Linked DNA regions of Macaca fascicularis. The protein of the gene in region 1 purifies or fractionates together with the protein of each later gene. This does not show direct contact. Links are inferred from orthologs where the notes say so. Each region holds a gene or a part of one and is shown on either strand. Other genes may lie near its edges.

The links.
Region 2: the proteins of WWP1 (region 1) and SMAD6 purify together in Homo sapiens (affinity purification with western blotting; 3 studies listed by BioGRID, with this or other methods). This does not show direct contact. The link is inferred for Macaca fascicularis from reciprocal best matches to the Homo sapiens genes WWP1 and SMAD6.

The regions. Positions count from the first base shown.
Region 1 is NC_088382.1:96,182,236-96,186,044, forward strand, and holds part of WWP1 (NEDD4-like E3 ubiquitin-protein ligase WWP1), read left to right. Parts: intron 1-1,844; coding exon 1,845-1,899; intron 1,900-2,254; coding exon 2,255-2,339; intron 2,340-2,463; coding exon 2,464-2,592; intron 2,593-3,809. UniProt on the Homo sapiens protein: E3 ubiquitin-protein ligase which accepts ubiquitin from an E2 ubiquitin-conjugating enzyme in the form of a thioester and then directly transfers the ubiquitin to targeted substrates.
Region 2 is NC_088381.1:43,376,425-43,380,846, forward strand, and holds the start of SMAD6 (mothers against decapentaplegic homolog 6), read left to right. Parts: upstream 1-1,502; 5' UTR 1,503-2,477; coding exon 2,478-3,294; intron 3,295-4,422. UniProt on the Homo sapiens protein: Transforming growth factor-beta superfamily receptors signaling occurs through the Smad family of intracellular mediators. SMAD6 is an inhibitory Smad (i-Smad) that negatively regulates signaling downstream of type I transforming growth factor-beta.

The DNA.
Region 1 (3,809 bases):
GTGAACAGGGCAGAATGAGGTAACAGATGCGTATCAGAAGAATGTTATCTTGCAAGTAATAGAATCTCCTTAAACACATTGAGGTTTAATTATCTCAGTACAACATCAGGTCTGGGGTAAAAGTCTAAGTGCTGCATTGACTCAGTAGTGTCATCAAGGACCTGGGTTCTTTCTGCCTTTATGCTCTGCCATCCGTATCACACTTCAGGCCTTTTACTTCGTTTATATGGAACTCTACACTGTGGGCCTCACATCCATAGTCTAGGCAAGAAGAAAGAGAAAGAGGAATTGAAAGGGCAGATGGCTCTGTTGTTGCAAGCCCTTGCCTTTTTTACTTAGTGAAGGATGCCCTTACCATGGCCTCTGCCTATACTTCACTGGCCAGAATTGTTCACTCTACCAGCTCAGCTGCAAGGGAAGGGGGATGGAATGATCTTTATGGCCACGTTTCTACCTCCAGCAAAGCAGGGATTTGGTTCTCAAGAACAGGTGGAAGATAAATATTGAGTATAATTAACAGGGTCTGTTACAAGATTATATTCATCAAGATGCATTTACTTTAAGAAATTATTTTTCAGGTAATTATTTTTACATTTGTCATTATTATAAAATTCTTGATAGAATGCTTATATTTTCCTCAGAATATATTTCTAGGTTATAATAAGAATGGAGGCATACATAAAAATGTGTTTTTATGTATGCATGAAAATATAAAAGATACTAATTAAAAGTTTATTTCTATAAATGGTACTGGAGTTGAGTGTTAGTTTTATTAGTGGGCATTTGTTTTAAAGAAAATTGTGATAATTGGTCTATTTTTAAACAAATAATATTGCCTCATTTAAACATCAATTTCCTGTATGTTCTTCTCCCATTTCATCTTCCCTCTATAGTTTAGTATGGAAGGACTGGGAGAGTAAAGTACTGATGCCAGTGTATTATTTTCAAATCATTTTAGAAAAACTAATAATTAATTTGATTAGTTGATAGTCTCCTCTTCATGACGTTTTATGAGCTTTGTGTCTTGGCTGGGAGTGGTGGCTTACACCTGTTATCCCAGCACTGTGAGAGGCCGAGGCGGGTGGATCACGTGAGCCTCGGAGTTCGAGACCAGCCTCAGAAACACGGCAAAACCTTGTCTCTACAAAAAATACAAATATTAGCCAGGTGTGGTGGTGCATGTCTGTAGTCCCAGCTACTTGGTGGGGCTGAGGTGGGAGGATTGCTTGAGCCTGGGAAGCAGAGGCTGCTGTGAGCTGAGATCACACCAGTACACCCTAGTCTGGGTAATAGAGCAGGAAGATCCTGTCTCAAAAAAACAAAGAACTTTGTGTCTTGAAATTGCTACATTTCCTTATTATGTAGATCGATCGATCGATCTATCTATCTATCTATCTATCTATCTATCTATCTATCTATCTAATAATATAGATCTATTTTTGAGATAGCTTCTTGCTCTGTTGCCCAGGTTGGAGTGCAGTAGTAGTGTGATCACAGTTCACTGCAACCTCCACCTCCTGGGCTCAAGTGATCCTCCCACCTCAGCCTTCCAAGTAGCTGGGACTTTAGGCAAATGTGCCAACGTGTCTGGCTAATTAAAAAAAAATTTTTTTTAATAGAGACAGGGTCTTCCAGGCTGGTCTTGAACTCCTGGGCTTAAGTAATCCTCCCACCTTGCCCTCCCAAAGTGCTGGGATTACAGGCGTGAGCCACTGTGCCCAGCCCCTTATCATATTTTTAGAAAATTATTATAAAATGTGATTCTGCCATGCACTTGGCTTATTTCCACTTCCATATTAAAATACTGTTATTTTATTTCTCTCCCCAATCTTTTCTCCAATCAGGCCTCAATGTTAGCTGCAGAAAATGACCCTTATGGACCTTTGCCACCAGGCTGGGGTAAGCCGTTATGTTTTTGCTAATGATCCGTAAGGGAGATATATATATCTCCATATATATATCCCTTATTTTATATGTATATCTCCCTTATATATATCCCTTAATATATACCCCTTATAATATATAATATATATTATTATTTATATAATATATAATTATTTATATAATATATATTATATATAGAATAGATTATATATTGTATATATTCTATAAGACATATAAGTGATACATATATCCCTGATATATTTTTTTATATATTTATATATAATATATAATATATAATCATATATATATTCCTTATTTTATATATAGATCCCAAATAGTTATTAAATATTATGGTCACTTTATATTTCAGAGAAAAGAGTGGATTCAACAGACAGGGTTTACTTTGTGAATCACAACACAAAAACAACCCAATGGGAAGATCCAAGAACTCAAGGGTATGTATATACAGCAGCCTTAAATCATCTTGCATATATCTGTAGGTAGAATCAACCAACCTTGAATGAGATATTTTTAGTACCTAGAAAATGTTCATCTTGTGATTTTAACTTTATCTTTTAGCTTACAGAATGAAGAACCCCTGCCAGAAGGCTGGGAAATTAGATACACTCGTGAAGGTGTAAGGTACTTTGTTGATCATAACACAAGAACAACAACATTCAAAGATCCTCGCAATGGGAAGTCATCTGTGTGAGTGAAAACCTGAGGTTCTCCTTTAAATGTTGCTTAGTGAGCACATGAGAGTTAGTCTCTAACTTATCCTCAAGTTTAGAAAAATATTTTACTTTTTGGTTCAAGAAAACCTACACAAGTGATACGTTAGTATAGCTGTCTTTGCTCTCATTTGACGATGGATTTGCAGCATGTCATTCCTTAATAATAGCAATGGCAACTATTTATGTAGTGATTACTATGTGCCAAGGATTGTTCTAAGTACTTCATAGGTATTAACTCATTTTATCTTCCAATAACCCCTTGAGGTAGATACTATTATTTTTCTCTTTACCAAGTGAGGAGAGATACAGGGAGTGTAACTAACTGTGCAAAGTTATAAGGCAAGTAGTGGAGCTGGTTTCTAACTATGACAGTCAGTCTGTCTCTTGACTCTGTGCTCTTAACTGCCACATGACACTGCTGCAATGAGATGGTCAGTGAAATGATTTTCCAAATTTAAAGATAACTGAATTAAGCAGTTGACAGATGTCTCCTTCATTCTTACTCTAAGGTGTAATGTCTTTGCATAACTAAGAAAGTAGAAGCAATCATAAAAGGTCTTTTGCAAATTTGTACCACCATATCTGTGCATCTCCTACCACCTCTCCTCCCTCCTGTTCTGTAGATGAACTGTCATTGTTATTATCAAAGTCTGCTCCCTCTGCTGGTACATTCGATTCCTACCACCACTTTTCTACTTAATTGCTCCAACAGTTACCACCTTTGTCTTGAATTATCAGGTTTTATTTCTCCACTAAATTATTCTTATCAGCTGTTATTTCTCCTAGATTTTAAAAAAAAAAGCAAAAAAAAAATTACAACTCTACCAAACCAATGTGTTCGATTACACAGTTCATTTGTGTGTGTGTGTTTTTTTTTTTTTTTGAGATGGAGTTTCGCTCCTGTTGCCCAGGCTGGAGGGCAATCAATGATGTGATCTCAGCTCACTGCAACCTCCGCCTCCTGGGTTCAAGCGATTCTCCTGCCTCAGCCCCCCGAGTAGCTGGGATTACAGGCACCCGCCACCATGTCCAGCTAATTTTTGTATTTTCAGTAGAGATGGGGTTTTGCTATGTTGGCCAGGCTGATCTCAAACTCCTGACCTCAGGCGATCCACCCGCTTTGACCTCCCAAAGTCCTGGGATTACAGGCGTGAGCCATCACACCCAGCCCACAATTCATTTTTATTGCTC
Region 2 (4,422 bases), on another chromosome or scaffold:
CCGCCACTCCCAGAGAGCGCAGCGCGAACAGTACCTGGCTCCAGGTAAAGCTCAGCAAATGGTTCTGAATCCTCCTTGCAAATGCCACCCTTCCCCCAGCGCACACAGCCTCTGGGCACGGCCGGGGATTCGCACCGCCGCGCACGCCACAGACCAGCCCCACGCGTGGCCACCCTCCAGGGAGACCCGCTCGCCGGCGCCCCGCGGCCACCGCGGGAGAATGGCGCCCAGCCCCGGGCCAATGAGAGTAGCGGAATTTCTTTCATTCAGCGCGGGGCCAGGCTCCTGCCCGGAAAGGGGCGGGGCGCCGCGCCGGGGGTGGGGCCGCCGAGAGCGGGGGGAGAGGGCGGTGCCGGCCCCGCGGCCTGGCCAATCGGCGCCGCGCCCGGGGGGGGAGGGGGGCCCAGGCCTTTTTTCCCCTCCGCGCGGGACCAATCCCGACTTTACAAGCTTGAACTTTTGCCACCCTCGGACGAGCTAGCGCGCCCGAGGAGGTACCCCGCCGCGCCGGCTCCAGGGGCAGGAGCGGCCTTAACCCTTCCCGCGCCAGGCGTCAGGCTGCTGCCGCCGCGCCCCGGATCCCGCCCCCAACTCACCCTAATTTTCGCATGGAAACCTCGCTAGGGAAAGCGTGATCCCTCACCTACAGCCCTCTCCGAGGTGCGGAGAGTAAACTGGAGAGGGGAGAGGAAGCACCCAGCCTGGAGGCGGCCCGGCCGGCCGGCGGCCCGCCTCGCTCCGAGGGAGGGCCGTGGCGACCGAGAGGAGCCAGCGAGTAGACACTCCCCGCCTCTACACCACCCTCTCCATCTCTCCACTCGGGGCGAGCCTGGAGCCACCGTGCGCAAAGCGCCCTAAGTTCCCTGTTTGGCCCGGCAGAGCGACCCCCAACTTTGTGCAAGGAGCGTAGAGCCCCTCGTGCAGTCACGGAAGATCCGCTACCCCAACATATCCGCCGCCCCCTGCTCCTCAGGCTCAACCCAGGAAGGCACACACGCACACCCATTTTTATTAGCCTGCCCTGGGATGGGGGTTTGGAACAACTGTAAAGTGCAAAGTGTGTTTATAAGTTTGTGCACAAGCCAGGGAGAGGCAAAGCGCCCCGCTTGCGTCCGAGTCTCAGTGGGTCCGCCGAGCCTCGCGCGCCTGCCCGTGGCTCATGTAACCCTGTGTGTATGTGTGTGTGTGTGTCCGCGGGCGCGTGTGTGCTCGCTCGCATCCGTGCCCTGGGCACAACGCGAGGCAGAAAGCGGGCCGCGGGAGCTGTCAGGCCCTGGGCGGGGGTGCCGGGGCGGTGTGGGGCGGGGGCCAGAGCTCGGCCCGCCCCGGGAGCCGGCCCCTTGGAGCCTCCGGCCCTGCAATGGGACGTGTTCTCCTTTAAGAGTTAAGAAACTTGAAACCTTGTTTGCGCAACAATCAGCGCCGCGGAGCCGCCAAAGTGTCTAGACTGGCATATGATGGGAGTCAGCCAATGACTCCGCGGCGCTCCTCCGGGGGCCCTCAGTGTGCGTTTGAGGAGAACAAAAAAGAGAGAGCGAGCGGAGCAGGGGAGCGATCGAGGGAGCCGATCCGAGAGAAAGAGCCGCTGGGCGCTGCCTCGCCAGACCTCGCTGGGACCCCGGGGCCGCCGGGAGGCACTTTTGTGGAGGGGGGAGGGGGGGCGACCTCGGCAGCGTCGGCGCACGAAGCGTCCGAGGGCAGCGTGGGGCGGGCTGCGACCTCTGCCTCGGTGGACTGCATTTTTAATTAAGGATTCCCAGCAGCTCTTTGGGATTTTTACAGCTTCCACTCATGTGTTGACACCCGCGTCCAGGAGAAACTCGCTCCAAGTGCATCTAGCGCCTGGGACCTGAGACGGCGTTGGCCTTTCGTGCATGCAAATCCAGGGATTTAGGTTTTGTTTGGGATTTCCTTTTCTTTCTTTCCTTTTTTTTTTTTTTCTTTTTGCAGGGAGTAAGAAGGGAGCTGGGGTTATCAACAAGCCTGCCTTTCGGATCCTGCAGGAAAAGCCCATGTAGTTAAGCGCTTTGGTTTAAAATAAGGCAGGGGAAAGGGAGGGCTTTCCAAACACATTTGGGGGTTCGCGCGAGCGCTTTGTGCTCATGGACCAGCCGCGCAACTTTTGAAGGCTCGCCGGCCCATGTGGGGTCTTTCTGGCGGTGCGCCGCCTGCAGCCCCTTAAAGCGCGGGGACTGGAGTTGTTGAGCAGCCCCGACGCTGCGGTCCATGTAGCCGCTGGCCGCGCGCGGACTGCGGCTCGGCGTGCGCGTGTTCCCGGCCGTCCCGCCTTGGCGAGCTCCCTCATGTTGTCGCCCTGCGGCGCCCCTTCGACGACAGGCTGTGCACGGTCTGCACGGCGCTCCGCGGCGGAGCTTCATGTGGGGCTGCGACCCGCGCAGCCGGCGCCTCGCTGAGGGAACGGACCCCCGGTAACCGGAGACCGCCTCCCCCCCACCCCTGGCGCCAAAGGATATCGTATGTTCAGGTCCAAACGCTCGGGGCTGGTGCGGCGACTTTGGCGAAGTCGTGTGGTCCCCGACCGGGAGGAAGTCGGCAGCGGCGGCGGTGGTGGCGGCGACGAGGATGGGAGCTTGGGCAGCCGAGCTGAGCCGGCCCCGCGGGCAAGAGAGGGCGGAGGCTGCGGCCGCTCCGAAGTCCGCCCGGTAGCCCCGCGGCGGCCCCGGGACGCAGTGGGACAGCGAGGCGCCCAGGGCGCGGGGAGGCGCCGGCGCGCAGGGGGCCCCCCGAGGCCCATGTCGGAGCCGGGGGCCGGCGCTGGGGGCTCCCTGCTGGACGTGGCGGAGTCGGGAGGCCCGGGCTGGCTGCCCGAGAGTGACTGCGAGACGGTGACCTGCTGTCTCTTTTCGGAGCGGGACGCCGCCGGCGCGCCCCGGGACGCCAGCGACCCCCTGGCCGGGGCGGCCCTGGAGCCGGCGGGCGGCGGGCGGAGTCGCGAAGCGCGCTCGCGGCTGCTGCTGTTGGAGCAGGAACTCAAAACGGTCACGTACTCGCTGCTGAAGCGGCTCAAGGAGCGCTCGCTGGACACGCTGCTGGAGGCGGTGGAGTCCCGCGGCGGCGTGCCGGGCGGCTGCGTGCTGGTGCCGCGAGCCGACCTCCGCCTGGGCGGCCAGCCCGCGCCGCCGCAGCTGCTGCTCGGCCGCCTCTTCCGCTGGCCCGACCTGCAGCACGCAGTGGAGCTGAAGCCACTGTGCGGCTGCCACAGCTTCGCCGCCGCCGCCGACGGCCCCACCGTGTGCTGCAACCCCTACCACTTCAGCCGGCTCTGCGGGCCAGGTGAGCGCGCTGCGCCGGCCGGCGGGGCCCTGGCTCCTGGTCCCCGTCCCCTTCCTTGCCCTTCTCTCTGTGACACTGCGGGTCGGCGCAGCTGCGGGTGCTCCCCCGGGTGCCCTTGGAGCGTGGTAGCCACCAGGAGAGGCGCCTTAGCCCAGCCGAGGGGAGTGGGTATCCCAGCACACACCTCAAGTGGCAACTTTATCTCAAGTCTCCGGTAAACTTAAAAGGGTACACGTCGTAGTTTTCTCTGTGCAGTTTCAGGGACATGATGTAGGCTCCAACTTCATAGGCAGTGAAAGGGGAGGGCAGGCCAAGGAGAGACCAAAGAAGTAGGTACTATTTCCTCCTACCTCAATTCCGGAATCTACCCCAGTCTGTACCCAGGCTTCTAGCATTTGTATGCAAGTGCCCTTACCCATACTGTGCTTTTCTATGTCCAAGCAGCTTTAAGTTGTGAAATTGGGTGTACACAAATCATAGCTAGAATCAAAAGTCTTCGTCAAATGCCCAATTTGTGCCTTTGTATACTTTCGACAAAGCTTTGCAGGGTAATCCCTCTCTGGAGTAAAGAGCACCGTCTTTATTCCCCACGTATAATCATTCCCCACATCCCCTTGGGTGTCAAGTGCCAGGGTCTTCCATAGTCCTTCTCAACTTTTGTTTTCAGCTTTTGTATAGAGTTTAGGGTCTTGGTGGCATCTGTGAGTAGTTGAAGAAGCCAGATACTCGTTTACCTCTGAGAACTGCCCCCCTTCTTTGTTCTCCTCTTGGGATTTCCTGCACACACCCCACCCTTAGCCTTGCTTACCCGGCTAGGCCCTGGTGCTCAGGTGCAGACAGGCGGAGGCTCCAGCAGGTCAGGAGCCTCCAGCAGGCCAGGAGCTTGCACTTACTTGCCTTGCTCTGACCTCTGCCTTGTGGGGAACACACATTTTAGCCTGTAGCTAGCCTCTGAGGGATGTATGGGAATCCATCAGGTGACACTGGGGTTTTGCAGGGGTGGGACTGGCAGGGAGTCACAGGCTCTTGAGCCTGGGAGGGCTATGAATCCCTCCATTCTGGCTTCCCTGGGGAGAGTCAGCACCCAGGCTGGGAGCACAGAGAGGGTCAGATCTTAGGTCTCCTGAC